Macaca fascicularis: one gene and its partner. The protein of the gene in region 1 purifies or fractionates together with the protein of each later gene. This does not show direct contact. Links are inferred from orthologs where the notes say so. Each region holds a gene or a part of one and is shown on either strand. Other genes may lie near its edges.

Evidence for each region.
Region 2: the proteins of RAB1B (region 1) and GDI1 purify together in Homo sapiens (affinity purification with mass spectrometry; 3 studies listed by BioGRID and IntAct, counting the BioPlex papers as one, with this or other methods). This does not show direct contact. The link is inferred for Macaca fascicularis from reciprocal best matches to the Homo sapiens genes RAB1B and GDI1.

The regions. Positions count from the first base shown.
Region 1 is NC_088388.1:8,108,955-8,121,154, reverse strand, and holds the end of RAB1B (ras-related protein Rab-1B), read left to right. Parts: intron 1-71; coding exon 72-144; intron 145-433; coding exon 434-529; intron 530-641; coding exon 642-737; intron 738-2,072; exon of another isoform or gene 2,073-4,105; coding exon 4,106-4,237; intron 4,238-4,332; coding exon 4,333-4,527; 3' UTR 4,528-5,781; downstream 5,782-12,200. Other genes in the region: CNIH2 (protein cornichon homolog 2), read left to right, coding at 6,718-6,798, 10,516-10,584, 10,987-11,034, 11,293-11,405, 11,506-11,649, 11,817-11,844. UniProt on the Homo sapiens protein: The small GTPases Rab are key regulators of intracellular membrane trafficking, from the formation of transport vesicles to their fusion with membranes.
Region 2 is NC_088395.1:160,429,736-160,446,712, forward strand, and holds GDI1 (rab GDP dissociation inhibitor alpha), read left to right. Parts: upstream 1-8,364; 5' UTR 8,365-8,459; coding exon 8,460-8,504; intron 8,505-9,771; coding exon 9,772-9,879; intron 9,880-10,011; coding exon 10,012-10,111; intron 10,112-10,252; coding exon 10,253-10,387; intron 10,388-11,193; coding exon 11,194-11,392; intron 11,393-11,659; coding exon 11,660-11,791; intron 11,792-12,689; coding exon 12,690-12,789; intron 12,790-13,213; coding exon 13,214-13,385; intron 13,386-13,661; exon of another isoform or gene 13,662-13,701; coding exon 13,702-13,846; intron 13,847-13,964; coding exon 13,965-14,019; intron 14,020-14,109; coding exon 14,110-14,262; 3' UTR 14,263-15,059; downstream 15,060-16,977. Other genes in the region: ATP6AP1 (V-type proton ATPase subunit S1), read left to right, coding at 1-133, 333-456, 3,117-3,191, 3,560-3,753, 4,212-4,252, 4,912-4,997, 5,496-5,734, 6,400-6,447 and 2 more; protein FAM50A, read left to right, coding at 15,840-15,950. UniProt on the Homo sapiens protein: Regulates the GDP/GTP exchange reaction of most Rab proteins by inhibiting the dissociation of GDP from them, and the subsequent binding of GTP to them. Promotes the dissociation of GDP-bound Rab proteins from the membrane and inhibits their activation.

The DNA of each region.
Region 1 (12,200 bases):
AATTGTGACTCCAGGATGATGGTAGGTGGGCTCCCTGCCTCCCTTCACGCCTTCCCATCCTCTCTCTCCAGTGACTACCTGTTTAAGCTGCTTTTGATTGGCGACTCAGGCGTGGGCAAGTCATGCCTGCTCCTGCGGTTTGCTGTGAGTAAGAAGCCTCCCATACCATCTACCAGGGGTCCTGACTGGCAGCTGGGGGGAGAAGGGACCACCCAGAGCACAGTAGTCGCAAGATCTGGGAACCAGGGGTGAAGCTGTAAGACCTGCCAGCAGCACATCTGCCCTGAACAAGACACAGGGCTGGCCAGCTGGGTGCTGGGAATTGGGGCTTGGTGATTAGGAGACCCTGCTGGGGCTGGAAGCTGGAGGGAGGCTTTCCAAGTGGGCCTCACCTCATTTACTCCCATCATTTCACTGGCCCCTGAACTTCCAGGATGACACGTACACAGAGAGCTACATCAGCACCATCGGGGTGGACTTCAAGATCCGAACCATCGAGCTGGATGGCAAAACTATCAAACTTCAGATCGTGAGTGTCGCTCTTCCCAAAATCCCTGGTACAGAGGTGTCCGCCTTGGGAGGGAAGGGACTCTGGGAATCTGGACCCCAGCTGACCTGCTCCTCTGCCTACTGTCTCCTAGTGGGACACAGCGGGCCAGGAACGGTTCCGGACCATCACTTCCAGCTACTACCGGGGGGCTCATGGCATCATCGTGGTGTATGACGTCACTGACCAGGTACTCCTGGACTAGCCATCCTCAGCTTGGCCTCCTTAGCCTTAGGTCTTTGACTCTTCTTTTTCCTCCTTCCATCTTCTCTTTCCTAATGCTTCCTGGAAAAGAGACTGTACTTGTCTGCTTGCGGGAACTAACTAGGAAAAAGAAAAAAATAGGTGACTGTACTTGGACTCATTTCACAAGGAAGGAAACAACCACAGAAATAGATCCTCCCAAGGCCCTGTTGCAGGTTCTGGCAGGACAAGCCCTCACACCTTCCCTCCCCGCCAAGCCAAACTTACCACCTTATTGTAGACCTTCTGGGCACCTGCATGTTATGGGAGTTTAGTCAGGCGGTTGGCTGCTATGATGGGTCTGTGGCTTCCTGTGTGAAGACACAGTGCAGGGGGACAATTAGAGGGCCTTAGACAAAGAAGTGAGGAGGCTTGAGCTCTGGACCCAATGCAAGCAGAGATCCAGAAGCTCTGTGCCTCCAGCAGCAGTGTTAGTCCCATGTGACTGACAGTGGTGGTAGCAAGAGCCGAAAATGGTTCCATGAAACCTTATAGTTTACAGAACCTGGCCCAGCCCTCAGATTGCAAATCTCTGATGCTCAGAAGAGGTCTGTGTTATGTTCCCATCACACAGGTGAGGAGTTGGGCTCAGGATGGTGAGGTGACTTGCCGAGGGTCCTTCGGCTAGTCCAGTGGCAGAGACAGAAAACCTGGATGGCTCATTCCACCTGCTTTGTGTTTTTCTACCAAATGTTGTTGCTTAACAGGGCCGAGCCCTGGGGATGAGGAGAAGCTTAAATCAGCCGTGGGCTGGTAAGAGTCCCTGTCTGAGGAGCAGCCGGGCTCTTTAGCTCACCAGGGACTCATGATGTCCTCAGCTCTGGACGAGCTGTGGGGAAGCTACATACCACCCAGACAGGTTACCAGGGCCCACCTGACTGCCATCTATCCAGTGACCTCATTTCAGCAGATTGACCTCTCGTGGCTTTGAACTCTGTTCTCTTCTCTCTCCTTGAAAAGTGTACCGTCCCCAGCTCCTCAGTCTCCTGCAGCACTTGATTCTCTATTGTCAGTGTCTGTTTGCTGGTTTGTCTGGTGCTGCCTCCCATCACCCTGTGTTTGGTGCTTCCCGACTGCCCTGGACTCTCCTCCTTACTCTGGTGCATGACTGGGGCCACTCTGTGGCTTGCTTCTGCCTTGTCTTCTGTGATTCCTGCATCTAACAGCTGTGGCTGTGGCTTCCCTCCTCTGTCCGTGTCTACGCTGGCACTTTGTGTCTGTGTTAATTCTGATCTTCATGATCTTCTCTAGTAAACTAAATGGTGGGGTTTGTGTTTTCCAGATGAGGAAACTTGCTTGGAGAGGTGTTAAGTAACTTGCCTCCGGTCTCACAGGAAGGGCAAAGCCAGTTTTGGAGGGCTCTTGGCTTTTGAGCACACCCTTTCCCCCGCCTCAAGCAGTCTCTGCAGAACTCAGATGTCCAGCACTGGCCTCACTGTCTCTCCCCAAACCAGCGTCTCCATCCACATTTTTAATACTTTTATTTTAAAACGTGGGGTCTCGCTCTGTCACCCAGACTGCAGTGCAGTGGTGTGATCATAGCTCGTTGTAACCTCAACCTCCTGGGCTTAAGGGATCCTCCTGCCTCAGCCTATAGGTGCACACCACCATGCCCAGCTGCATCCCCATCTTTGTGACACAATTCTTACCAGGCTGACCAGAAAACTCTTCCCTCCCCCATCCAGTCAGTCTCAAGTCCCCTCTGTTCTCTCCCCATCATCTTCCTCAAATCTGTTTTCTCATGATAATAGCAGTCATGAGGATAATAGCAGCTCTTGCCAGGTAAGCACTTGTTATGAGACAAGCCTGCATTCATTCTCTTCATGCTCACAGCAGCCCTTCTGGGAGGTACTGTTTCTAGAAATGAGGAAACTGAGGCTCACAGTGGTCAGGGGACATACCTGAGGTCACACAGTAAATGGCTGAGCCAGGCCTTCAGCAGCGGTGGTCTAAATCCTGTGTGCATCCCTGGCTTGGTGCACATTCTCTTCCCTGGGTTATTCCAACCATTCCCAGTTGGTCTGCATCTTGCTGGTCTGATCTGGCCTCTGGCTCCTGTCAGGACTAGCTTTCCAGAGCACAGGTGTGATCTTGCTGCTTCTGGCCTGAGAAAACGCCCACTGGCTCCTGGTTGTCCAAGACTTAGCCAGGCTGAGACAGTCTGTGCTCTGGCCTCTCCCCATTCCCCGCTCTGTCCTCCCCCGTCCCCTCTCCCCTTTCCCCCTCTCCCCTTTCCCCCTCTCCCCTTTCCCTCTTTCCCCTTTCCCCCTCTCCCCTTTCCCCCTCTCCGCTTTCCCCCTCCCTATTGAGTGCATCCCAGCAACATTCCACTTCCTCCCATTCCCCAGAGACATCATGCCCCTCCCATTCAGTGACCTGGCACATGCTGGCTCTCCAGCTGGCACCTCTCCTGCACAAGGCCAGTTCCCACCTGCAGGCTTAGGCCTGCTGTTGCTCCCACCTCAAGCAGAGGTGGTCTGGGGGCTCCCCGGTCCCTGCCTTCTAACCTGTTTTGCCCTTGTGTGTGGCCTGGTCTATTCCTCTGCTGTCCCGTGAATGTGTTAGGGCAGGACTCGGGTATGATTTCCCCCTTTGTCCCCAGCACTTAGTGCAGGACCCAACTTGGAACATGGCAAGAGTTTGAGCCAGTCTAAGTTTGAGCCAGTGTGATGTCATCAGGCCTCTGGCTCCTAAGGAGGAAAAGTGGCACTAGCTTGAGCACTTTCCTGAAAGTCCTGTCCTTTGTGTGTGGGGTAGGGGCAAGCTGCTGGAAGAGTCTGAAGCCAGGTCATAAGGCTGTTGGTGCCAAAAGTAGGATGAATTTTAGGCTGTTCCCAGGAGTCCTGTCTCGCCATGGGCCAGGGCCGCCTCTGAGAGGACCCTCGACCTCCTGCGTTCCAAGGCTACAAACCTTAAAGGGATTTTTCAGGCCACGGTGGGAACTGTAACTCTTGCAGACCTGTTACTCTCTGTTCCTGTCTCCCCTCCACTCTCTCTTTGCTTCTCACATGTGGTTAGGCCTGCAAGTGTCTCGGGCAGAGACAGCCGCAGGGAGCAGAGCTGGCAGGCCTGGGTTGGAGCAGCTGTTGAGGTGCTAGGGCAGCTGGCAGGCTGCTGGGGCTCTTCTGGGTCTTGGATGGAGGAGGGCAGGGAGGAAGGTTCAGCCTGGAGCAGAGGGCTTCCTCTGCATCCCTGAGCCGAGGACTCAGGGGGCCCAGAGCTGTACTGTTCCCCTCAGAGAAGGTCTTGTTCTCCAGGTCTGGGGTAGGGGTGACAGTTGGGAGCAAAATAACTTTGGCCCCTGGCCCCCTCTAGGAGTCCTATGCCAACGTGAAGCAGTGGCTGCAGGAGATTGACCGCTACGCCAGTGAGAACGTTAATAAGCTCCTGGTGGGCAACAAGAGCGACCTCACCACCAAGAAGGTGGTGGACAACACCACAGCCAAGGTAGCAGATGGGCGGGTCTGCCTGGGCTGGGGGCGCTGGGGCCCTCCTGCCCCTCACCCTGCTCTCCCCTCCTCTTCTCTCCTCTCCCTTGTCAGGAGTTTGCGGACTCTCTGGGCATCCCCTTCTTGGAGACAAGTGCCAAGAACGCCACCAATGTCGAGCAGGCGTTCATGACCATGGCTGCCGAGATCAAAAAGCGGATGGGGCCCGGAGCAGCCTCCGGGGGCGAGCGGCCCAATCTCAAGATCGACAGCACCCCTGTAAAGCCGGCTGGCGGTGGCTGTTGCTAGGAGGGGCACATGGAGTGGGACAGGAGGGGGCACCTTCTCCAGATGATGTCCCTGGGGGGATGCAGGAGGTGCCTCCCTCTCCCTCTCCTGGGGCATTTGAGTCTGTGGCTTTGGGGTGTCCTGGGCTCCCCATCTCCCTCTGGCCCATCTGCCTGCTGCCCTGAGCCCCAGTTCTGTCAAGGGTCCCTAAGGGAGGACACTCAGGACCTGTGGTCAGGCAGGGCAGGGGCCTGCTCTGCTGCTGCCTCTAGGTGACTTTCCAAGATGCCCCCCTACACACCTTTCTTTGGAACGAGGGCTCTTCTGTCGGTCTCCCTTCCACCCCCATGTATGCTGCACTGGGTTTCTCTCCTTCCCCTTCTTCCTGCTCTCCTGCCCAAGAGCTGAGGTCTCCCCGGCCTCTACTGCCCTGGCTGCAGTCAGTGCCCAGGGCCAGGAGAGTGGCCAGGGGATCCAGGACCTGGGATCCAGGGCCCTGGGCTGGACCTCAGGACAGGCATGGAGACCACAGGGGCCCAGCAGCCCACCCTTTCCTCTCCCCACTGCCTCCTTTCCCCTCCCACACTCCCAGCTCGAGCCGTCCAGCTGCGGTGGGGTCTGAGTATATCTAGGACGGGTGGGTGGGTAGCCGCACTGGGCTTGTGTCTTGAGCCTGGAGGGAGTCTGCTCCTGCCGCCCTCTGCCCTTCCAGAGACAGACCCGTGCGCTGCCTGCCCAGTGTGCCCCTTTGTCCCCACGTCAGGCAGAGGCGGAAGGCCCACTGTGCCAGAGGCTGGGCACCAGCCTTAACCTTCTGCTAGCACCTCCTCCCCTTCCCCGAGGCAGCACATCTGGCTCACTCTCCCCTGGGTCTCTGGAGCCCACCAGGGAAGGCCCTCATCCCCTGCCGCTACTTCTCTGGGGAATATGGGTTCCATCCGGGGTTGGGGGCCTCTCTGCTCATCCACTCTGCACCCAGGATCCTAGTCCCCTGCCCTCTGGCACAGCTGCTTCCTGCAGGAAAGCAAGTCTTTGGTCTCCCTGAGCAGCCATGTCCCTCGTGCTGTCTCTTGCCTGTCCCACCTGTGCCCTGCCCTCCAGCTTGTATTTAAGTCCCTGGGCTGCCCCTTGGGGTGCCCCCCTGCTCCCAGGTTCCCCTCTGGTGTCATGTCAGGCATTTTGCAAGGAAAAGCCACTTGGGGAAAGATGGAAAAGGACAAAAAAATTAATAAATTTCCATTGGCCCTCGGGTGAGCTGAGGGTTTTTGCAAGGAAGTTGTGGTGGACAAGTGTGGTCTCTGGTCTAAGTCCAGCCTTGGGGTGGGGGGATGGAACTGGAACCCTGGGCTTGATGGGGTGCACGGGGGTCCTGGCTTGGTTTCTGCATCTTAAGGCTGCTGGTGAAAGCCCTTGACCCCGTTTCCTGGGGCCAGGAAAGCTGCTTGTGCTTCTGTGGTCTGTCCCCAAGGGCCCAGCACCGTTCTGTCAGGGAGAGAGAGGGCGGCCATCAGCTCATACCTGGTGTGCCGCCGCCAACTCCCACGGGGGACACGGCAGAGGTGTGGGGTCGTGCAGCCTCTGAAAGGGCCCCCACTGCACCTGGCCCGACCTCCTTCGGCGCCCCCCAAAACCCCGCTGCCCCCATTCAGCCCATGTCCTCGCTTCGCTGTGTGTCCCAGCCAGGTGCTTCTGCCGCCTCCGACAGTGACAAGTGCCTCGCACTTCAGCCTCTGCCCTGCGCGCCCGCCCGAGGGGGCCGAGTGCGGCTGTGCCGGTGGCTGGAGTGCCTAGGGGTGCGGGGTGCCGAGGGGGACGGCCGCGGGCTCGTCGGGGCTGGGGGTGGCGCCCGAACCGGGCGGGCGGACGAGGGGCGCGCGGAGACCCAGCCCCGCCCGAGGCCGCTCGCGCGGCGGCCCCGCCCCCGGCTCCGCCCCGCCGGCTTCGCGGGCTGGAGAGCGAGGGAGCCGCGGGCGAGGGATCGCAGGATGAGCGATCGCGGCCCGGGCAGCCAGCAGCGGACGCGCCCCCCGAGCCCACCGGCCCGCGCCCCGCGCCCCCCACGGCCCCGCGGTCCCGGTCCCGGCCGCATCGCCCACCTCCCCCGAGCCCCACGGGCCATGCCCGGCCGGCCCTAAGCGCGGGCCGGGGGGCGTCCCCTTGCGCCCGGGCCCCGCGCTGGCGCCCCCCGGGCCGCCGCCCGGCGCGGGGGCCATGGCGTTCACCTTCGCCGCGTTCTGCTACATGCTCACCCTGGTGCTGTGCGCCTCCCTCATCTTCTTTGTCATCTGGCACGTAAGGCCGGGCTGGGGCTGGGGGCGGGGTGGGGGGCAGGGGCCACACGGAGCTGGAGGGACCCAGGGCGGGTGGTCTCAGAGCCCCGGGGAAACTTGCTATCCCCCAGCAGTCGGCTTGTCGGCTTCGCCCCCATTAACACCCCCCATGGTCGGCTTTCTTCCCAGGGCCCCCCTTCCTTCGCCGCCCCCGCCTGTCTGTATGTCAGTCGGTCCCTGACCCCCTCCTCTGCCCCCGTCCTCTGCCCCATGCAGCCCGTGAGGTGGGGGGTGGAATTCTGGAATTTTTGCTCCTTTACCTTCTTCTACGTCCCCCGCCCCCCCACAACCATCCAGCTGCCTCCATTAGTCCGTCGGGCAGTTTGTCTGTCTGCTGCCCCCCCACCCTTTGTGGGTTTTTCCAGCCAGAGTGATGGAGCCGGTTGCTATGGCAACTGCATCTGTTTACAGGACCCACAGATCTCATAGCCCATTAACCCTTTGCCTTCCCAGCCCCCTCCCTGACCAAACAGCACTTGGCTCTCATCAGCCCCCAGAGACCTAGCCCCCACCACCGGCTCACCTTGGGTTTCCCTACCCCTCCTGTTGGGAGCTTCCCAGCCCCTCAGGTTTCCTCTCCATTTTTCAGCTTCCCTCCTCTTCCTGCCCCCCTTCCCCTTTGTCTCACATACCCCTTGGCCTGTCCCTCACCCTGGCCTAGCCTCACACCTGGTTCTTCAAAATGTCCATTCCTCATCCTACTTCCGACCCATCGCTTCCCCCAGGCTCCCTTCTCCTCCCCTCCCAGCCCCTCTCCTCCAGGGCCTCCTCTGCCTGGCTCCCTTCCCCTCACTACAAAACTATCAATCAGCCTCCAGCTGGTTGTTGGGGGCCCCTGGCCCCACTTTACTGCCCTCCCTCCCCACCCCCACCCAAACCCCGTGCCTGTCTCTGTAACAGCCTGCCCAGCTTGGCCCTGGTCGGCTCAGCTCAGCATTCTCTGCCCACACCTCCCGCGCACACCTCCCTGATTGTCATTCCCTTTCGGGGGTCCTCTTACCCCTCCCTCAATCCCATTTCCCATAACCCTTCCCTCCTTCCTCCTAGTGCCTCACCTGCTTCTTTCCCCGGGCTCCCCACTTCCTCTCTCCTTTCTCTTCCTGGGACCTGCTGCCTGCTCCATGGTTCCCCCTGCGCTCCCTTTGCCATCCCCTGCCACCTTGCTCTTTGCCATCGGGATTCCATAGACTGACTGAACCTATACTGTGTGAGGAGTGAGCCCCCACAGGCACCTCAGCACACACTCCAGCTCCAGCCCTGTCACTCCCTGGCCTGGCTCTGCTGTCTCCCTGGGTCTTGGTTGCTTTGTCTTTCCCCCCCCCTTCCCCCCCACCCCGAGTTACTCTATTTTTATTTCTGTGAGGTAGGGGCAGGAGGGCTAGGGTTCTAAGGGCTGAAGGGAGCTGGAGGCCACAGGCTGGGGAATGCAGAGCTGACCAGCTCCTAGGAGAAGGGCTTCTGGAATTCAGGATACCCCTTTTTGGGGCCTTCCCCACCCAGGGCCTTCCCACAGACCCTGTGGGGTCCCTGTCCTCAGGGGATTCTCAGCAGTTTTCCATCCACCACACCTGCATTGATGCTTCCCAAAGATCAGGCTCTGGGTGGCTTTGAGGGGGTCAAGGATGAATAAAACCAGACTTTGCCCTTGTGGAGTGCCCAGGCTGGGAGGAAAGGCCCAAGCTTTGAAGAAATGTCTTTGTTCATTCAACAGATATTGATTGAGCACCTATGTGAGGTACTGTGTCCACTCAGCCATTTAACTGGATGATCTTATCTAGTCATTTGTCCTGAGTCTGGTTCCTCACTGGCGAAGTGGACCTGTGCACATCAGAGTGCCTAGTGCGGCCTGCTGGGTGGTAGGGGATAGGAGGTGTGGTCCTCAGTCCACAGCTGCTAAGAACTAGACTCTTAACAGGGCAGGACCCCAGATCCCACTCCAGACCCTCAGCCCAGGCCCCAATGGTTCCTAGGCAACACTGGTGGTGAGTGATGCGTGTCAGCTGTCACCGTGGGGGATTGTTTGTTCCGGGGGGCTGAGTCAGCACCAGGCAGCCTGGGGGGTGGGAGGCGCGACGCCTGCCGCCTGCTGGTGATGACAGCTCTGGGGCACAGACGGCACCCTTCTGCTCCCTGTGGACCCTGTTGCTGTGCGTGCCAAGCGGCGGCTGCCCAGTCAATGAGGAACTGGGTGGGGGGGGCGGTGATCCAGATGGCCCCAGCTCCCTCCAGGAAGCCCATGTTCTTTCTCTCTGAGCCGTCTGGGTTCTGGGATGCCTGGGGGTGGTGGGCCTGCTGCCTCATCCTAGGGCTGGAGCTGATGGGAGGGGATCCCAGCAGGCTCCTCTGCCAGCCCATTTCCCCCAAGTCACCTGTCAGCTCCTCCCAGGCCCATCCCATCATCCCCTCAAACACTTGCTCCCCTGGAGAGTTTCCACCCGTGAGGACACTGCCGTCTGCCAGACACCCTAACACCTGAAGACACCTTAGACTTCTGCCTTCACTTCTCGGCCCTTTGAACCCTCTGGAGTCTGGCTCCTAAAGAGCTGTAGAATCGCATACACGCCTTCCGTCTCCACTACAACTCTCCTCACTCAGACCACCATCAGCCCTGCCCCTAACCCTCCAAACTGTCCCCTTGCTGGTCTGACCTGAGTATGACACAGTGGTTAGGAATTTTAACTCTGGAGTCACACTGGGTTAGAATCCACTAACCAGCTGTGTGACCCTGGACAAGTCACTTAACCTGTCTCAGCTTCCTCATCTGCAAAATAGACATGAAAATAAAACTAGTACCTAAATCATTAGGTTGTAAGCATTAAATGAATTAATCCACATACCTGCCAGCAGGAGCACCACTTAGATCTCAGCTGTGACTGTCAGTGAGCTCGGAGTTCCTGCCCCACCAATCCTGAGACATGGACCAATCCTAAGACATGGGCCTGACCACCCCACTCTGCTGCTGTGTACTCTTCCATGCCTCCCCACAATGTTTTTGTGTTAGAGTCCAACCTCCTGCTCCAGCCTCACAGGTTGTCCATGTCTGGCTCTGCTGAACTCTCCAGCTCCTCTTCCACCACTCCCTCTTTTCTTCCTGCTCGCCGCGCTGTCATGCCAGCCCCATGAAACCCGCAGCCTCCTGAATGTCTCCTGACCTTTCACCCCTCTGCCATTGCACCTTCTGCTTGAACTGCATTTCCCCCATTTGCTCACCAACACCTACTCCGAGTCGAGCCTGAACTCCCTCACCCTCCACACAGGGTTAAGCACCCACTCCAGGTCCTGTACCCTAAACCCTGATCACCTGGAACGTAGAGTGATCATCCCTCTGGGCGTGGGTTCCTCCCGAGCAGAGGCTGCATCCCAGGCCTCTGGAGCCCCAGTGCTCAGCACAGGGCCTGAGACCTGGTAGGGCAGACACGAGGCCATGTCTTGGGATGTTTCGGAAGGAGGTGTAGTGGACATGGGCCTGAACTGGGCATCCAGACGCTAGGGTTCCCTTCTGGACTGTTGTGATGACCTTGGACCAGGCCCTGCCCCTCCCTGGGCCTCGGTTTCTCCACCTTTGCAACAAGCTCCACCTGGCTGGTCCTCTTCAGTAAACTCCTATCCCACAGAAGGGCTTGGGGGGAAGATCATAAACTGCTGCCCCAACCCTGACGGGCACTCGCCCCTCCCCCAGATCATAGCCTTTGATGAGCTGCGGACCGACTTCAAGAACCCCATCGACCAGGGGAACCCTGCGCGGGCAGTAAGTGATACATGTGCTGTGCCGAGGTGTGTCTGTCCGTCTTTCCATCTGTCGTAGGCTGGGGGTGGGAGACGGGAAGACGGGGGTGGGGTGGGGGGCCTACGGCCATGCCCCCTTCCTCTCTGTCTCCGCCCCCAGCAAACACCTGGCGCGTGCTCAGGGCTGAGTTCCTCCTGGCGGGGCGGCGGTTGCCAGGCTCTGGGCCGTTGCCTTGGAGACGCGGGTGAAGGCCCCTCCATGGTGACGGTCGCCATGGGGACGGCGCGGCTGCTTCCCGGCCGCGCCGACAGTGCCGCAGAGACCGCTCTTGCGCCCCCTGGCGGCCACATGCGGGGCGGTGGGAGCTGCTCCAGTATCTGCTTCTCCGCCTCCCCCATCGCGGCCTTTTGCTTCCCCCAACAGCGCGAGCGTTTAAAAAACATCGAACGCATCTGCTGCCTCCTGAGGAAGGTCAGTGTCAGGGCTGGGGGCAGGAGGCTCCTAGCCCAGCGCTGTCCCCACTGTCTGTGGCCCAGAACCAGGCCGTCCCCCGCTTTGGGCCTGTTTGATCCACTCTGCTACTTGGGAGGGAGTGGGAAGCCAGAGGCCTTTTAATCTCCAGAGGTCATGGTGGGTGGGCACCTTCCAAACCCCAGCTCCTCTCTGTGCCCTTGAAGCCTGGGTCTGTCATAGCACCAGGCCGCTGACCTCTCACCCTCACTCCCCCAGCTGGTGGTCCCAGAGTACTCCATCCACGGCCTCTTCTGTCTGATGTTTCTGTGTGCCGCAGAGTGGGTGACGCTGGGCCTCAACATCCCCCTCCTCTTCTACCACCTCTGGAGGTGAGGGGAGCAGCTGCCTTGGGGAGGCTGAGATGGGGAACAGGGACAGGATGGGGGTGGGAGCCTTGATGGCAGACACTCAAGCCCCTGTCTGCCCCAGGTACTTCCACCGTCCTGCAGATGGCTCCGAGGTCATGTATGATGCGGTCTCCATCATGAATGCTGACATTCTCAACTACTGCCAGAAGGAGTCCTGGTGCAAACTTGCCTTCTACCTGCTCTCCTTCTTCTATTACCTGTACAGGTGAGGCCTTGCCCACAGCAGTCAGAACTCAGGGAAGGGATGCCCCAGCATCACACTTCCAATGCCCTTTGCCCTTGAGGACTGAGGGCAGCCCAGGGTGTGGCCAGGTGGGTAGCTGGGTGGCTGTGTGTGTGCAGGGCTAGGCTCACTGGCTCATCTTCCCACAGTATGGTTTATACGTTGGTGAGTTTCTAAGGGGGAAGCCGGCCAGGGAGTGAGCCCAGAATGGACCGGACGCCTGTGCACCCCCAGCCCTGCCCCTTGGCCGCAGAGGCCTCAGCCCTGGGGAGGGAGGGGGCACTGGTGCCCCCAGCCTCTCCAACCCCCAAACTGCTGCTGCGGGGACCCCCCCACCTTCAGAGCCCTCCCCCTTGGACTAGAGCGGCTGGGCAGAGCTCTAAACAGGGGCAGGGGCTCCTCTGCCAGCCTGTGGGCATGGCAGTCAGTCCTGGAAAGGGCAGGACCTCCAGCCTTGTCCATTTCGGGGGAAACTTGGGCCCTGCCAAGGGGCAGAGCTTGACCCTGGAAATTCTGGGCCACCCCCCTCCACC
Region 2 (16,977 bases), on another chromosome or scaffold:
GGATGAGGCCGCGGTGCGCCCAGGCGCTCTGGCGGATGCCGTGGCTGCCGGTGTTTTTGTCGTTGGCGGCGGCGGCGGCGGCGGCGGCAGCGGCGGAGCAGCAGGTCCCGCTGGTGCTGTGGTCCAGTGACCGGTGAGCGGGCCGGGGTGGGATGCGTTGTGGCGGCTGAGGCGCCCTCGCCCGACTCCGACTCCCGCGCTGTCCTACGCGAGGGGTGGTGAGGCCCAGAGGTGGACTATTCTTTGCTCGGGGGTCGCAGCGAATCTGCCGGCAACAGAGCTCCAGTCCACATGCGCCCCCGTCTGACAGCACCTCTTCTGTCCCCTGCCAGGGACTTGTGGGCTCCTGCCGACACTCATGAAGGCCACATCACCAGCGACTTGCAACTCTCTGCCTACTTAGATCCCGCCCTGGAGCTGGGTCCCCGGAATGTGCTGCTGTTCCTGCAGGACAAGGTGCGCCTGCCCCAGCCCACTCTCCCCCGGTCATCGGGAGGCAGCCAGGAACCCCTCCCCCCATGACACTGACGCCCATTCCCCAAGGGAAGCTTCAGTGACCTTGTCCCAACCGTAGGGAGGTGTGGGTCGTCTCATGGGAAGGCCTGTAGTAAACGCTTCAGTGGGCATGGCGACAGCCTCGGAAATGGCACCAACTTGATTGGAGGAAGCGACGGGTCAGAGGCCAGGTACCTACTGATTACCAAGCACTTTGGATATCTGACTTACTCCAATATGGTGGGTGGGGATTATTGTCCCTGTTCGTTTATAAATGAGAAGACTGAGGCTGGAGGTTAAGTGACTTGCCCAAGCTCATACAGCTAATGGGTGGCACAGTTGTAATTCTAGCTGTGATGATCATAATAATGATAATTGGAAAATGATCACCTGTTTAGTGCTTTGTAGGCACTTGCTATACTGATGTCATTATCTCGGTTTTACTGCCAAGGAAAGTAAGGTTTGTCGAGATACAATGTTTCACTACAGTTGATAGACACCACTTTGGTTCCAGCCTGAGTCTGTCAATCCTCCCTCCCAGTTGGAGCTCATAACCTGCATGCTGTTTTCCCTCCCATCCAGGATCTTTGCCCCCAACCAGGCGTGCAGACCATGAGATGATTCTAAGATAGCAAGCGTCTGCTAGGCCCTCCCTTGTTGGTGGCCTGTATGGCTCATTGCCCTTGTAGTCTCCCTTGGTTGCTGTGTGGGCAGATGGTGGCCTGAAGTCTTTTCAGGAGGTGGTAAATAATATAGTCAGATAGGAACTGAGTCCTAGTTCCACCATGTAACCAGCCATTGGAGGCATGAAATAATCTTTGTCAATGACAGTTTCTACATCTGTAAAATGAAGACACCACCTACATCAGAGGGCTGTGAGGGGGAATTCTTTTTTTTTGTTTTTTTTTTTTTTGAGGCAGAGTCTCGCTCTGTTGCCCAGGCTGGAATGCAGTGGTGCAATGTAAGCTCAATGCAACCTCCACCTCCTGGGTTCAAGCAATTCTCTGCCTCAGCCTCCTGAGTAACTAGGATTACAGGGCACCTGCCACTGCGCCCAGCTAATTTTTGTATTTTTTTTTTTTTTGTATTTTGAGTAGAGACAGGGTTTCACCATGTTGGCCAGGCTGGTCTTGAACTCCTGACCTCGTGATCAACCCACCTCGGCCTCCCAAACTGCTGGGATTACAGGCATGAGCCACCGCGCCCGGCCTGTGAGGGGGAATTCTTATAATCCACATAAAACATCTAGCCAGGATCCCCCAGTCTTTCGGCATTCACCCATTCATTCATTTGTCCAATATGGAAAGCCTACTATGTGCCAGGTATTATGAAGTGTTGGGATACGGCAGTGAGCAGAAGAACCCAATCCCCCACCATCAGGAAGCTGACATTCTCATGAGGGTGACCAGTAAATACTAAGTTGGTATATTATATGATGTCAGTGTTATAGTCTTTAGGGAAGGAAACAGGCTAAGGGGACAGAGTGACTGGGATGCTGTTTTAGATAAGGGTGGTCAGACTGGGCCTCACTGAGGAGGTGAGGAGGTGATATCTGAGCAGAGATCTTAATGGAGGGAGGGAGCCGTTGGGGGAAGGACATTCCTGGAACAGCAAATGCAAGGGCCCTGGGCGAGGTGTGCTCTTGGCAAGCTCAAGGAAGACCTGGTGTGACTGGAGCACAGTGAGTGAGAGAAAGGGGTAGGAGATGTAGGAGATGGTTCTCAGGTGGCCAGGCAATGAAGTAGGACCTTGTAGGCCATGAGGGGGAAGGTCAGGTGCAGTTCTAAATGTGTAAGAAAGCCTTGGGTAATGTGGAGCAGGGAGTGGTGTGATTTCTCAATTAAAGAAAGCCCACAGGAACCACCAGCAACTCCTGGGCTTTCCGACTGGGAGCCCGGGCGGCCAAACAGCAGCAAGGTCCTGCCCACAAGGGAGGGGAGACTGGGCGAGTGTATATACCAAACAGGTTAGGGAAGCTGATTAAAATCTCCTCAGGGCCTAACTGGGAAAGGCCAGAGGAAGCTGGAGATTGGAGTAGGGGGTAGGAGCGAAAGGACAAAGGACATCTGTAAGTTGTATAGAAAAAGGGATGGGGTCAGGGCCACTGTGGTCCTAAGAGCTCAAAAGACTTAGTGCTTCCTCCGCATGTTCTGAGATCTCACCTCTCTCCCCTTCCACCAAAAGCAAGTGGGGTGACGGTCCTGTCCAGACTGGACATAGCCAACTCCCATTTTCTCTGGCTGGGAGGCCTGCTGCAAATGCTCTTGGCTGCCCCACCCCCTCCCCACAGCTTCCCTGTTCCCTCCCCAGTTCCTCTTGTCTGTAGGGCGGGTAAGGCAGCTGACTCCTACTCCTGAGGTTACCACAAATCAGCTGCCTACAGATCTCCCCACCCCCATGACTGCCTTCTATGTCTTCTCACCCTGCCTTGACAGTGCTGGAGGGAAGAGACGAGTCTCCCACCCACCACCACCAACACACAGTCGCGCTCCACTATACCGAACCTGACTCTCAGTGAGACTTTGCTGGCCCTGAGAATGCACGGGGAAGGTGGCTGTCCCCTGCCTTGGCCCCCATTCCTTGTCAAACCTCCTCAGATGTCTCCCCTGTTTCCCTATTAGCTGAGCATTGAGGATTTCACAGCATATGGTGGTGTGTTTGGAAACAAGCAGGACAGCGCCTTTTCTAATCTAGAGGTAAGAGTCCTCTCCCAGCCAGGGGCCATGGGGGACATTCTGTGCTTCTCCCAGCATAAGAACTGTACTCTTACCTCATATCAGGGTTACTTGGGTCTGAGTCTCCTCTGGGATGCCTCCTCCCTCCCCCCCCGCCGCAAACAACAACAACAACAACAACAAAACCACCTCATACTCTTAGCAGAGACACTGGCTTTGGGGTAGAAAGGCCTGGGGCCTGAATGTCAGGGCCTGGGGTGTGGGCCATTTTCTTGGTGAGCCTTTGTGGGTATGGCTTGCCAGAGGAAACCTGCCAGAGAGGTTTGGGGGGCTGGCCCAGGCCCACTGGCCCCTGGCTAACTCACCTTTTGCCTCTCCCCTGTCACCAGAATGCCCTGGACCTGGCCCCCTCCTCCCTGGTGCTTCCTGCCGTTGACTGGTATGCAGTCAGCACTCTGACCACTTACCTGCAGGAGAAGCTCAGGGCCAGCCCCTTGCATGTGGACTTGGCCACCCTGCGGGAGCTGAAGCTCAACGCCAGCCTCCCCGCCCTGCTGCTCATTCACCTGCCCTACACGGCCAGGTACTGCCCACATGGCCCAGCCACCAGCCTCGGGGTCCAGAGAGCAGCAAGGCCCTGGGCTATGGCATGTGGTGGCACCGTTCGACCAAATATGCCAGTACTCCCCACCCCCTCACAGCCCTTCTAGAAGGTGCCGTGTGTGGCCAGAAGAGGTGGGGAGGGCCTCTTCTGTGATTCAGGAGTTGGTGCCTAGCTCCAGAGATGAGGCAGATGTGAGCCCTGTGGGTGGGGAGCTTTCTCACCTAGCCAGGCCCTTGTCACAGAGCAGGTGGCTAGGACTTGAGTGTGACTGAGAAGCCTCGGGGTGAGATGGGCTTCCAGGAGTGGGCACTGAGGTAAGAGTGTGCAGGCTTGGTGTGTGGGGCTAGTGGGGAGGAGAAGCTGGGGCTGGGGAAGGGTAGTAGGCAGCACAGGTCCAGGCCGCCTGAGGACTCTGGTGCTCTGTTTGTCTTCCATAGCTCTGGTCTGATGGCACCCAGGGAAGTCCTCACAGGCAATGGTGAGTAGAATCAGGGAGGATGCACATCCTCACCTAGCCCTTGGGCGGGGACCACAGACAGTTGGCCTGCAGCTCCTCAGCCTCCTCACTCCCAGGGTGGCCCTCCTGCTTCTCGGGGCAGCTGACAGTGGAGCAGGGAAATGCTGGCTCCCAGGACTAGCCAGAGACCACTTAGCAGAGGACCCTGTCCAGCCAGACCCCACTTGGCAGAGGGGGGGCCCTCTGTGCTGGAGGCTATGGAGCCAGTTTCTGTGCATGCAGCGTGAATCCTAGAGTTATGGGTTTAATAAGACTGCAGACATTTGGAAAAACAATTCTGGGGACTTACCTATTTGCAATAAAGAACAGTCATTGCCCATGGAAAGGCAGTCACAAACCTTTCATGGGTGGATGTGGAGTTTTCTGTATTGATATGTATTTTCTCGTGTCACATAGGTAGGGCTTGGCATTAGGAAGTTGATGACCAAAGCCACAGTTGTCCAGGGGGGAGGCTAGGAATGGGGGTGGGATGAGAAATAGCTGCTCCTAAGGATCCTCAGTGGAAAGTAATAACACCACTTTCAGATGGTCTAGAAGGTTTCTAAAGCAGACGGTGGGGAGTGTTTCTTTACACAGGGTGCCTGGTGACTTGACTCTCTGCTCTCCTTTTTGACCCTCAGATGAGGTCATTGGGCAGGTCCTGAGCACACTCAAGTCTGAAGATGTCCCGTACACAGCGGCCCTCACAGCGGTCCGCCCTTCCAGGGTATGTGCCCTTCCAGCAGGGGCTCTGGGGCATGCAGGGAGAGGCAGTGTGGTGAGTCTGTCTGGAGGTGGGGGGTGTATGCCACAGGCAGGCTGTCCGGGAGGCCCAGCATAGCGGAAGCATCAGGCACAGAACCCCTGTGGTGTGACTATTTGGAGTGGCTTGTCCCTGGGCTGACTCTGGGGGAGGACTAGGATGAGCACTCAAGTGCTGCCTCCCCATTCCAGGGGCAGCTTTCCATCTCGTCCTTTGAGGCTTGTGGGTGGCAGACTTGGACACTAAGTCTAAATGACCCTAAGTTTGAGGGACTAGGAATGTCATCAGGGTTTAGGGGCCATCAGGGAAAGCTTTCTGGAGGAAAGGCCTCCTCTGGCTGGTGGGACTTTGAGATAGTGGACAGGGTGTCCTGTCGGGAGAGGAGGGAGGGCACGACAGCTGGGTTGGAGTATGACAGTCTCCCAGGGCTGCTGAAAGAAGGCTGGTTGGGTGTTTCTGCAGGTGGCCCGTGATGTAGCGGTGGTGGCTGAAGGGCTAGGTCGCCAGCTGTTACAAAAACAGCCAATATCACCTGTGATCCATCCTCCTGTGAGTTACAATGACACTGCTCCCCGGATCCTGTTCTGGGCCCAAAACTTCTCTGTGGCGTACAAGGACCAGTGGGAGGACCTGACTCCCCTCACCTTTGGGGTGCAGGAGCTCAACCTGACTGGCTCCTTCTGGAATGACTCCTTTGCCAGGCAAGGGCACTAGGCTGGGGAGGACTGTGCCACCACAGGTGACCTTCCCACCACTGTGAGTTGCAGGTGGGGCAGGGAGCCAGGGTCAGGTCTGTGTGTTGGGGTGGGGATGGCCATGGTCTGGTTGGGGTCTGGGCAGTGTGAGGATGTAGGAGGTGTCATGGCGGGGGGTGCTGTTGGAGGGGAGTTGCTCAGACTTCTGCCTCCCCATGCTTGTGAGTCTTTGGTTGGGACCTTGGTTGTTAACACCTCCCCCTTGAGCAAAACTTCTGGGACTTTGTGTGGGCAAATGCCAGGCCAGCTACCTGAGGCATTTATGGGGCAACCATGCCCTTCTGTTTGCTCTCACCCCCAAAGCCCAGCCCAGGCACCTTAGTGACCCTAAGAGGGAGTAAAAGGAGAGGTAGTGAGCTCAGGGGAACCAGAGGAAGGACCCCCATGCTGGTGGCAAGGGGAACCTGGGTCCTGGCTTCCAGCTCTGTTCTGGGCTTGCAATGCGACTGGATCCTCAGTTTTCCTATCTGTCAAGTGGGGTCACTGCTTCTTCAGGTGGCTGCAAGGACCCAAGGCAGCTTAGGTAAGAGCAGAGCTGAGGAACTTGTTCCTCTAAGATGCCAAAGGCCCTCCCAGAGCCTCATGGTGCACCTCTTTCTCTGCCTCCACAGGCTCTCACTGACCTATGAACGACTCTTTGGTACCACAGTGACATTCAAGTGAGTCCTGGGGTGGTTGAGGTGTGGGGAGGCTGGTGTGGCCCCAGCCTCCCCAGCTCACCTGACATCCCTGCCACCTTCCCCAGGTTCATTCTGGCCAACCGCCTCTACCCAGTGTCCGCCCGGCACTGGTTTACCATGGAGCGCCTCGAAGTCCACAGCAATGGCTCCGTTGCCTACTTCAATGCTTCCCAGGTCACAGGGCCCAGCATCTACTCCTTCCACTGCGAGTATGTCAGCAGCCTGAGCAAGAAGGGCAGTCTCCTCGTGGCCCGCACGCAGCCCTCCCCCTGGCAGATGATGCTTCAGGACTTCCAGGTATGGCGCAGGGGTGGCCCAGCTTCAGGTGGGGGAGCCCAGGCTGGTGTTTGAGAAACGAAGAGAGGCTTGGGCTTGGGAGTCCTGTCCCTGCGCTGCCCTTGTCCCAGTCCTTGCTGGGCCTCCCAACGGTCCTTTCTGACCCGTGTCTGTGTGTCTGCCAGATCCAGGCTTTCAACGTGATGGGGGAGCAGTTCTCCTATGCCAGTGACTGTGCCAGCTTCTTCTCCCCCGGCATCTGGATGGGGCTGCTGACCTCCCTGTTCATGCTCTTCATCTTCACCTACGGCCTGCACATGATCCTCAGTCTCAAGACCATGGATCGCTTTGATGATCACAAGGGCCCCACCATTTCTTTGACCCAGATCGTCTGACCCTGTGCCAGTGGGGGATTGAGGGTGGGACAGTGTCCGTGTTGTTGCTTTCCCACCCTGCAGCACACTGGACTGGAGCTTCCCTCTTCCTACCGCAGCATGAACCCCAAGCTCCCCTCAGCCCATCTTGCTCCCTCTTCAGCCTGCTGAGGAGCTTTCCTGGGCTGCCCCCATCTCTCCCAACAAGGTGTACATATTCTGCGTAGATGCTAGACCAACCAGCTTTCCAGGCTTAGTCGCTGTGAGGCGTAAGGGACATGAATTCTAGGGTCCCCTTTCTCCTTATTTATTCTTGTGTCTACATCATCCCTGGCTGTGGATAGTGTTTTTGTGTAGCAAATGCTCCCTCCTTAAGGTTATAGGGCTCCCTGAGTTTGGGGTGTGGAAGTTCTACTTAACTGTCCTGCTTGGCTGTCGTTATCGTTTTCTGGTGATGTTGTGCTAACAATAAGCAGTACACTGGGGTTTATTTCTGTGGCCTGAGAAGGAAGGCACCTCCACAGGTGGGCTGGGTGCGATCGTCGGCTGTCTGGCATGTTCCCACCGGAAGTGCCTGGCAGGAGCAGGGGGTGCTCGGTTGTTTCCTTCCTAATAAAGTAAACGAGGATCGCCATGCGTTGGGCCTCTTGTCGCTCATTTCTGCGCTGAGCTTTTGGCGCGTGCTCGCCAGAGGTATGCGGGAGGATGGAGCCTGGAGAGGGGGAGGCTAGGAGGCATCCCCGGAGACCGGGAGGGGCTTTAGTAAGCTGGGCCCTAACCGCTTAGGTCAGGGAGGGGTGGTCGGGCCGAGTCCCGGTGCGCTTCGGCGTCTCAGGAGGCCGTAGTGACAATGGCAGCCTTCGCGTCGTGAGGGAGCCGCCCCCGGCTGCCGCAGCGGCGCGCGTCCGGTCGCGGGGCCGCGCCGAGACTCCCGGGGGGCGGGGCGGGCGCGCGCGGGGCGGGGCGGGGCGGGGCGCGCCCGGCTCCCGCGCATGGATCCTTCCCGGGCCGCAGCACCGGCCGCCGGCCCGCCCCGCCCGCCCCGCCCGCCCCGCCCCGAGCCTCTCTGGACTCTCGGCGAGCAACGTCGCCCGCGGAGCCGCGCTGGTGCTGTGGCCCGGGCCCTGGCAGCCCTCCCGGGAGGCGAGCCGGGAAGGCGGTGTCCCCTGCCGGGTGCGGCGGGGCGCGGGAAGAGGCGGGACTCTTTGACGCGGCGGAGGGGTCGGGCGGCGGCCGACGCTCCGCCATCTTTGGTCCAGTGCGGTGGCGGCGGCGGCGGTGGCTACTGCTGTGGTGAAGGAGGAGGAGGAGCCGAGCGGGCGCTGCCACTGAGGCCTGACCATGGACGAGGAATACGATGTAATCGTGCTGGGGACCGGCCTCACCGTAAGTGCGGCCCCGGGCGCCCTTGGCCCTGCGTCGTGCCCTCGCCATTCCCCGCGATGATGCGGCCGCCGGCCCATCCTCCGGTCACTGCCATCTTCTGCGCTCGGCTCCCCGAAAAGCCGGCGCCGTGCCCACCCCGCTGCTCCCCCCGCGATGTCGCCTCTGTTCGTTGCCATGACCCCATCTCCCCGAAGGGGCCCCCTTCCTGGCCGCCCCCTGGCCTACCCGGGTCCGACCCCCGGCGCTCTCCCATCTTCCCTACCCCTGCCCTCTGGACCGGAAAACGCACCCCCACTCGGCCCGTTGCCCCCGACCCCGCCCACCCATCGCCCCCACCCCGCCCACCCATCGCCCCCACCCCGCCCACCCATCGCCCCCACCCATCACGGCATCCACCCGTCGCCCGCACCCATCGCCCGCCTAGCGTTGCCTCCCAGCGTCCCTTCCCATCTTGCGCTAATCCCTGTGAGGATGAAGTACAAGGACCTGGGGTCAGGGGGCCTCGCCAGGGTGGGCTCTCAGCCCACCCCCTCGTCGTCTTCTGGGGCCAGGGGATCCAGGGAATGTTCCAGAAGGAGCAGCAGTGGGGGCAGTAAGCACATTCCCGCAACCCCACCTCGGTTGCCCATGGAGACCTCAGGCTGAGTAGCATCTGCAGCCTTTGTCCTTGGGCTAGTGACAGTGACTGGTGAGGGTGTTTATCTTCCCCCTTTCCCCGAAAATCCCGTTGGCCCACTCCCCTCAGAGACTCTTCTCCCTCGGTCCAGACCCAGATGCCCCTCCTCAGCGGCAGGGGCTCCTGCTCTTTGAAGAAAGAGCAGTCCAGGGTGGGGCCTACAATTTCAAGGACTGTGCTAAGCCTTTCTTTGCTTCCCTTTGGAGTGTCTTTCGCAGTCCAGCTGGGTCCCCTCTGTGCCACATTGTGTTTTATCCGCCTTTTTGTGCGGCTCTGCGTAGGTAGATGCCTCTCGGCGTGTTGGTACTGGAAGGCCATCCTGTGTCTGCTGGATGCCCTGCCTACCTCAAAGCCTCCGTTATTTCACTGTCTGCCTTGTGAGGGGGACGGTCTCCTTTACCCCGCAAGGTTGCAATGGAGAGTGTGGTCGGATGAAACCATCACCCCAATTTTAGGCGAGGCAACTAGCCGGTGGGGGTGGTGGATGGAAGGAGCTGTCCACTGAGGCAGGTTTGGGTGGGGAACAAATCAGGGCTGCTGGTAGGAGCAGAGGAAGGTGGGAGTGCAGCGGATTGTGTGGCCCTCCCCCAGGAATGCATCTTGTCGGGCATCATGTCTGTGAACGGGAAGAAGGTGCTGCACATGGACCGGAACCCCTACTACGGGGGCGAGAGCTCCTCCATCACACCCCTGGAGGAGGTGAGGCTGCCTGGGCCCAGGCCCATCCCTGTTAACCTCCCACACAGCGGCACAGGGTGGAAGTAGCTCTCCAGGTGCCTGGAGCAGGAGGAGGTGGTCCCTGAGGTGTCTCTCTCTCCCTTCTGCTTACAGCTGTATAAGCGTTTTCAGTTGCTGGAGGGGCCCCCTGAGTCCATGGGCCGAGGCCGAGACTGGAACGTTGACCTGATTCCCAAATTCCTCATGGCTAACGGTGAGGGACAGGAAGGAGGTATTGCAGGTCGGGGGTGATAGGGAAGACCTAAGGACAGTCAGGCTCCAAAGGAGGCACAGCCAGACCAGCTAGAACCTCTGGAGAGAGCCGTGCTGATGTTGCCCTTGTGCACCCCCACAGGGCAGCTGGTAAAGATGCTACTGTATACAGAAGTGACTCGCTACCTGGACTTCAAGGTGGTGGAGGGCAGCTTTGTCTACAAGGGGGGCAAGATCTACAAAGTGCCGTCCACTGAGACTGAGGCCTTGGCTTCCAGTGAGTGTGGGCCCCCTGAGCCAGAGAAATCATGGGGTGGCAGGGAAGCCAACTGTCTTTGGGATGGGTGGCTGTCCAGAGTAAGGCACCCCTTTGTCCAAAGTCACATTCCCCCATGAAGGACCAGAGGCCCTTCACTCTGTATTCCCTCTGCCCCATGTCATGCCGCATGGCTGGCTGCCAAGAGGGAGGTCCCCACGCAGCAGGGATGTGACGTGGAGGGGAACGGGACTCCTTTTGAAAGACTTGAGCGTGGCCAGGCACGGTGGCTCATGCCTGTAATCCCAGCACTTTGAGAGGCCTAGGCGGGTGGATCACGAGGTTAGGAGTTCAAGACCAGCCTGGCCAACATGGTGAAACCCCGTCTTGTCTCAAAATACAAAAAATTAGCTGAGTGTGGTGGCACACACCTGTAATCCCAGCTACTCGGGAGGCTGAGGCAAGAGAATGGTTTGAACCCGGGAGGTGGAGGTTGTGGTGAGCCGAGATCATACCACTGCACTCCAGCCTGGGCGATAGAGCAAGACTCCATCTCAAAAAACAACAACAACAAAGAAAACTTGAGCCTTTGGCAGGGGCTCCACTGGATCCTCAAGACATCCCCAAGTGTCCAAGCCAGGAAAGCCCTTAGAGTCCATCCAGGCCAATCCCCTCTTCATCCTGGTGGGGAAACTGAGGCTAAAAAGGGTGGAGAGGTTAACCTAAGGTCACAGGACAGCTGGGCTGGGAGTGGGGGTGCCTGCCCTGCTGAGATGGAGAGTTTTGTGCTGCGTTGGTGCAGAACCTCCTCCCGCCACCTTCCTTAGATCTGATGGGTATGTTTGAGAAACGGCGCTTCCGCAAGTTCCTGGTGTTTGTGGCAAACTTCGATGAGAATGACCCCAAGACCTTTGAGGGTGTTGACCCCCAGACTACCAGCATGCGTGATGTCTACCGGAAGTTTGATCTGGGCCAGGATGTCATCGATTTCACTGGCCACGCCCTGGCACTCTACCGCACTGATGAGTGAGGGGAAGCTGGTGTGGCGGCAGCCCCCTCGCCCGGCCCACCTCCTGCCCTCCCCACACCTGCCTGTTGTCCCCCTGCCCTGCATGTTCCTTGTACTCAGCCATAGGCTCACCTGTCACCCTTTCCATTTCCCCCTTGCATTTGATCCTCATCTTCCCCAGGCCATTCAGGGTGGTGGGAAGACTGGCCTGGTACCTGGTACCTGGGTGGGGGTAAGTCAGGGGTGCTGCTACTGGAGCATCTTCCCTAACCCCTGTCCCCCAGCTACCTGGACCAGCCCTGTCTTGAGACCATCAACCGCATCAAGTTGTACAGTGAGTCCCTGGCCCGGTATGGCAAGAGCCCATATTTATACCCGCTCTACGGCCTGGGCGAGCTGCCCCAGGGTTTTGCAAGGTGAGGACGTGGGTTTTTTCAGTTGGCATGGCTGAGTAGGACTAGGGCCAGGAGTGGAGATGGCCCCCTTGAGCATTTCCCTGGTAGCATTTCCTCCTTTCCAATTCGTGATTTTCATTTACTTCACTCCATCCTTGGGTGATGAGGGCACAACCCCAGTGCACTGAAGTACAGAAGTCTCCACACTTGCCGGGCGCGGTGGCTCACGCCTGTAATCCCAGCACTTTGGGAGGCCGAGGCGGGCGGATCACAAGGTCAGGAGATCGAGACCACGGTGAAACCCCGTCTCTACTAAAAATACAAAAAATTAGCCGGGCGCGGTTGTGGGTGCCTGTAGTCCCAGCTACTCGGGAGGCTGAGGCAGGAGAATGGCGTGAACCCGGGAGGCGGAGCTTGCAGTGAGCCGAGATCGCGCCACTGCACTCCAGCCTGGGCGACAGAGCGAGACTCCGTCTCAAAAAAAAAAAAAAAAAAAAAAGAAGTCTCCACACTTGAAGAACCAAGTTTCCACAAATGTGACTTGCTCAGTTCCCGGCAGCACCAGGACTGGGCCCAGGGCCCCAGAACCTTGAGTCAGGGCTTCGCTGGGAGGTGACCTATCTTGAGAGAGTCCATCCTGGTCCTTCAGGCTGTCTTGGTGCAGAGCACTGCTCCCTCATGCCCCCTTCTGCTGGTCCTTGGCAGTGTATTCTGGGCAGAAGAAGCTCCTGAGAGGAAAGAGCCCGCTGAGATGGGGCCAGAGTTCACGGCAGTGACACAGCTGGGATGAATCCCGGCGTCTCCTGCCTGCTGCCTGCCTGGGGCAGCCTTTTTTGCACCTTGGTGGAGGAAGGGTGACAGTGGAATTGGTCCCCGTTTCTCCTGGGAGGGGCCTTCACCAGGGCTGTTCTCACCACAGATTGAGTGCCATCTATGGGGGGACGTATATGCTGAACAAACCTGTGGATGACATCATCATGGAGAATGGCAAGGTGGTGGGCGTGAAATCTGAGGGAGAGGTGAGCCTTTCTGGTGCAGTGCAGTCACCATGGTTGAGGCAGGGCTTGGTCACCTTCTTTTCACCGTGCTGCCGGGTCTCCTGCTGCACAGCCCCGAGGGTCCTGGAGCTGGGAACTGGGCGTTCAGAAGTCTTCAGAGCCATGAATGTGGGTGAGGGGCTATTTCAGAGGCCACACGCCATGTCTGTAGTGCAGAAAGTGTACTTGATCACGGGGCATCTGGGAGGTGGGGGCGGGCACCCAGCCTATGGGTCAGGGCCCACCTCTGTGAGCTGCAGGGCAGGGCCATGCATTCAGGAGGGGCAGTAGTGATGGCTCCGAGGAGTGCCTTGTCTGCCAGAGCTGCCTGCCTTTGCTGTGAACACAGCCCCAAGACTACCTAAGGGAGTGATCTGACGGGCGAGGATTTCTGGTGCCTTCTCAGGTGGCCCGCTGCAAGCAGCTGATCTGTGACCCCAGCTACATCCCGGACCGTGTGCGGAAGGCTGGCCAGGTTATCCGCATTATCTGTATCCTTAGCCACCCCATCAAGAACACCAACGATGCCAACTCCTGCCAAATAATCATCCCCCAGAACCAGGTCAACAGGAAGTCAGGTAGGCCGGGTGCTGGTACAACTTCCTCTAGGGTGTTCTCTTTGGGGTTACCCTTTCTCTCCCCATCAGTGTCGGAGCTCCCTGCCTTACCTCTCTGGAAAAAATTTGACCCACGTTGTAGTCACCACAACTTGGACCCCTAGGGTTTGGGTGGCCTGGACTCTTCCCCTCTGGGAGGGTGGCGGCTTGGATGCTACCTGCTTTGCGGGGCTGGGGAGGGGGCAGGTGGGCCAGACTTGTGTCCAGCCACTGGAACTCATCTCTGCGTATGGCCAGCGCCTCTGGCCCGAGTTGACGGAGCTCTTCCTGTGGCCAGACATCTACGTGTGCATGATCTCCTATGCACACAACGTGGCGGCCCAGGGCAAATACATCGCCATCGCCAGCACTACTGTGGAGACCACGGACCCTGAAAAGGAGGTGGAGCCGGCTCTGGAGCTGTTGGAGCCCATTGACCAGAAGTGAGGGGCTGGGCCGAGCCCGAGAGGGAGAGGGAGGGAGCCCAGGAGCTGGGCTTAGGGACCAGGAAGGGCATGGCCCGTTGTGAGGCCTGTCCCCTCCCCTCTGTCTGCCCCTCAGGTTTGTGGCTATCAGTGACTTGTATGAGCCCATTGATGATGGTTGTGAGAGCCAGGTAAGCAGTTTGCCCCAGCCCTGGCTCCTGGCTGCCCCCCCAGGGCACCTGCCTGACTCACCCTGGGCGCTGGGCTTTGGCTGTTTCCAGGTATTCTGTTCCTGCTCCTACGATGCCACCACACACTTTGAGACAACCTGCAACGACATCAAAGACATCTACAAACGCATGGCTGGCATGGCCTTTGACTTTGAGAACATGAAGCGTAAACAGAACGACGTCTTTGGAGAAGCTGAGCAGTGATTGTGGCCGCCCCCAGCCCCTGCTGCCCCAGCCTGTGTCTGTTCTCCTAGAGGGCTCCAGCATCCTCTGCTTCCCCCACCACGTTCCCATCACCCACCTCATTGATCCACTGACCAAATCCTTAACCCTAGCGATGGTTTGGGAGATGGGGGGTTGGATAGCATCCTCTTTCTTGGCCCTTCCTTATCCTAGGAAAAGAGGGTTCCTCTCCTTGTGTGTGTCTCTTCCCCCCACCCCTAATTCTTCTGCTCTGTTCGGGAAGACGGGGAGGAAAAGGTGACTTCTGCCCCCACCGCTCTTACCCCCACTGTAGTGGCCTTTGGAGATGCCCCCACCTCCCCCCACCAACTCTTGGCGTGTTGGAGAGAAGGGGCCCTCCCAGCACAAAGTTGCATTCCTCCCCCCTAATTTATTCTAATTTATTAACTTCGACCCACCCTTTCTGAGCCTGCAGCCTTCCCGTGTGGCCTGGGGGCTGTAGAGTGAGCTGCCCCAGCCCCTCCCAGCCCTTGCCCAGCCTGGGGCAGTGGGGAAGGCTTGGGCGTGGCCCCGTTGGAGGTTGATTTGCTGTTTTGTTTCTTGTCTTTGTGTTTGTGTTCTGTGGTACTTGCTGAGAGAAAAATGTGAGCAAAGCAGAAGGAGGTGGGAAAATGGACCCAAACCCCAGTGTGCCCTGCCCGTACCTTTCCTTTAGTGGTGGGAAACCCTTATCTTGCAAAGTGAATGTGTCCCCTTCCCCACCCTCTAGTGTATTTCACAGAAAACAAAACCTCCCAATAAAACGGTTGAAACCTGAACCTCTGGATCTTTACGGTTATCTCCCAAAAGCTGGGTACCTGGCAGGGCTTTGGCTGCCTGGGTTGGGGCTCTGGCTTAGCTTCACTCTGGACTGTAAAAGGTGGCAGTCGTCAGGGAATTCCTCACCCAGAGCACGCTGGGGCCAAACTGACTTAAAGCGTAAGGCTACCAGTGAGTTAATGCTGGCACCAGGACTGCAGCCCTCAGTGCTCAATGCAGGGGGAGTGCGGTGGGGGGCGGGTGTCAACGTGGAGAAAGCAGAGGGAGCGGGGGTCTTGGCCTCTGGCTTGAGAGGGCAGAGGGGACCCGGGGCCAGCCTTGGATGGGGTGAAGCAGGGGGACAGGGGTGCCAGTTTTCGGCTTAATGCGGGGGACCAGGGCCTGGCCTCAGGCAGGGAGGCAGCACGGGGACCAGCCTTGGGGTCAACAGGAGGAATTAGAGGGACCAGGGGCCCAGCCTTGGCTCGGGTTAACGTCGAGGCAGCGCGAGGGGCTGGGGGATTCAGCCTCCGGGGTCCACAGGAGCCGGCGGTGGGGGCTGGGATGGGAGTCCATGCAGGGTAAGGGGCGGTCTCCGGCGGGGTGGGGCGGGGTGGGGCGGGGCGGGCGGCGGTTCCGCTCCGGGCCAGCTGGCGCGCGGAGGGGCGGGGTATCCGTGCGTCTCCTGGTGGCTGACGTCACGGCGCGGGCGTCAGCTGACTGTTCTGCTGCCGCCGCCGCTGCTGCTGCAGCTGAGACCCGGCTGGGCTGCTGTCGCTGTCGCCGCCGCCGCCGCTACCATGGCTCAATACAAGGGCGCCGCGAGCGAGGCCGGCCGCGCCATGCACCTGATGAAGAAGCGGGAGAAGCAGCGCGAGCAGATGGAGCAGATGAAGCAGCGCATCGCGGAGGTGCGAGCTGGGAGCCTCGGAGCATGCGCGCTGCCCAGGTCCCCTGGCTGCCTCGCGCCACGCTCCGGCCCTGGAAGCCCTGGGGCGGTGGCTTCGGAGCGCGGGCGGCGCGCCGGGGCGGGCCCCTGGCTCGCTGACTTCCAGCAGAGCACAGAAGCAAGCCGGCGAGTCTCATCAGTAAAATGGGCCCTGAGCCGGGCGTTCTCCGAGGCTGAGGCCACTGACTGGTGACCGACCTCCGGCAGGAGGGAGCCGAGCCAGTGTTTCTGTTGGGAGGCACGGCGGGGACAGGCCTCTCGTCGCCTCGCCTGGGCACCTAGCGCCCTGGCTCTGGCCCCTCGGCCCTCAGAGCCAGGCCTCTGCCCTGGTCCTATGGACACCGGGCAGGGCGGTTCCTCTCCCCCTGGAGAGGCGCGGGGAGGCCTGAGTCAGACCTGGCCAGTCCACTGGCCAGGAGGCTCCTTCCAGAACCCCTTGCATCTGTGAGGCAGGCATGAACCTCCCGGGCGCCAGCGGTTCATCCCCTGCTTCCCGTGAGTGGCCCGTGATGGTGGTGGTCAGGGAAAGAGCGTGGAAGAGCTTGATCCTTTTAGGGAGACTCACTCATCAGGACTCAGGGCTCCAGGAAAGAGCAGGCTCCTGCTTGGGGAACTGGGGAAACCTGGCCAGAGGAACCTTGAAATACCAAGTCCTTATTCCCTGGCCACACTGTGTGAGCCGGGGTGCCCAGCAAGCAGAAGGTGTATTTGTCTGCCAGCCACCTTGGGAGGCCGCTGGTCAGCGAGGGCTTGACATGGTACCAAGTGGGATGGGGCTGGGGCCAAAGAGAGGCCTCCTGGGAAGCTGTTGATGACATTTGGGGGCCTAGAGGGAGGAAAATCACTCAGGGAGGGACCAGGCCCCTCAGCCACTGTTCTTGTTTGCCTTCTCCTGATACCCCTTGGCTTGGGTCTTGGAAGCTTCAGGGGCAGATTTGGACTGTAACCCAGGTCCCTGATGACCAGCCTGCCTTTTCCACAGTGAGGGG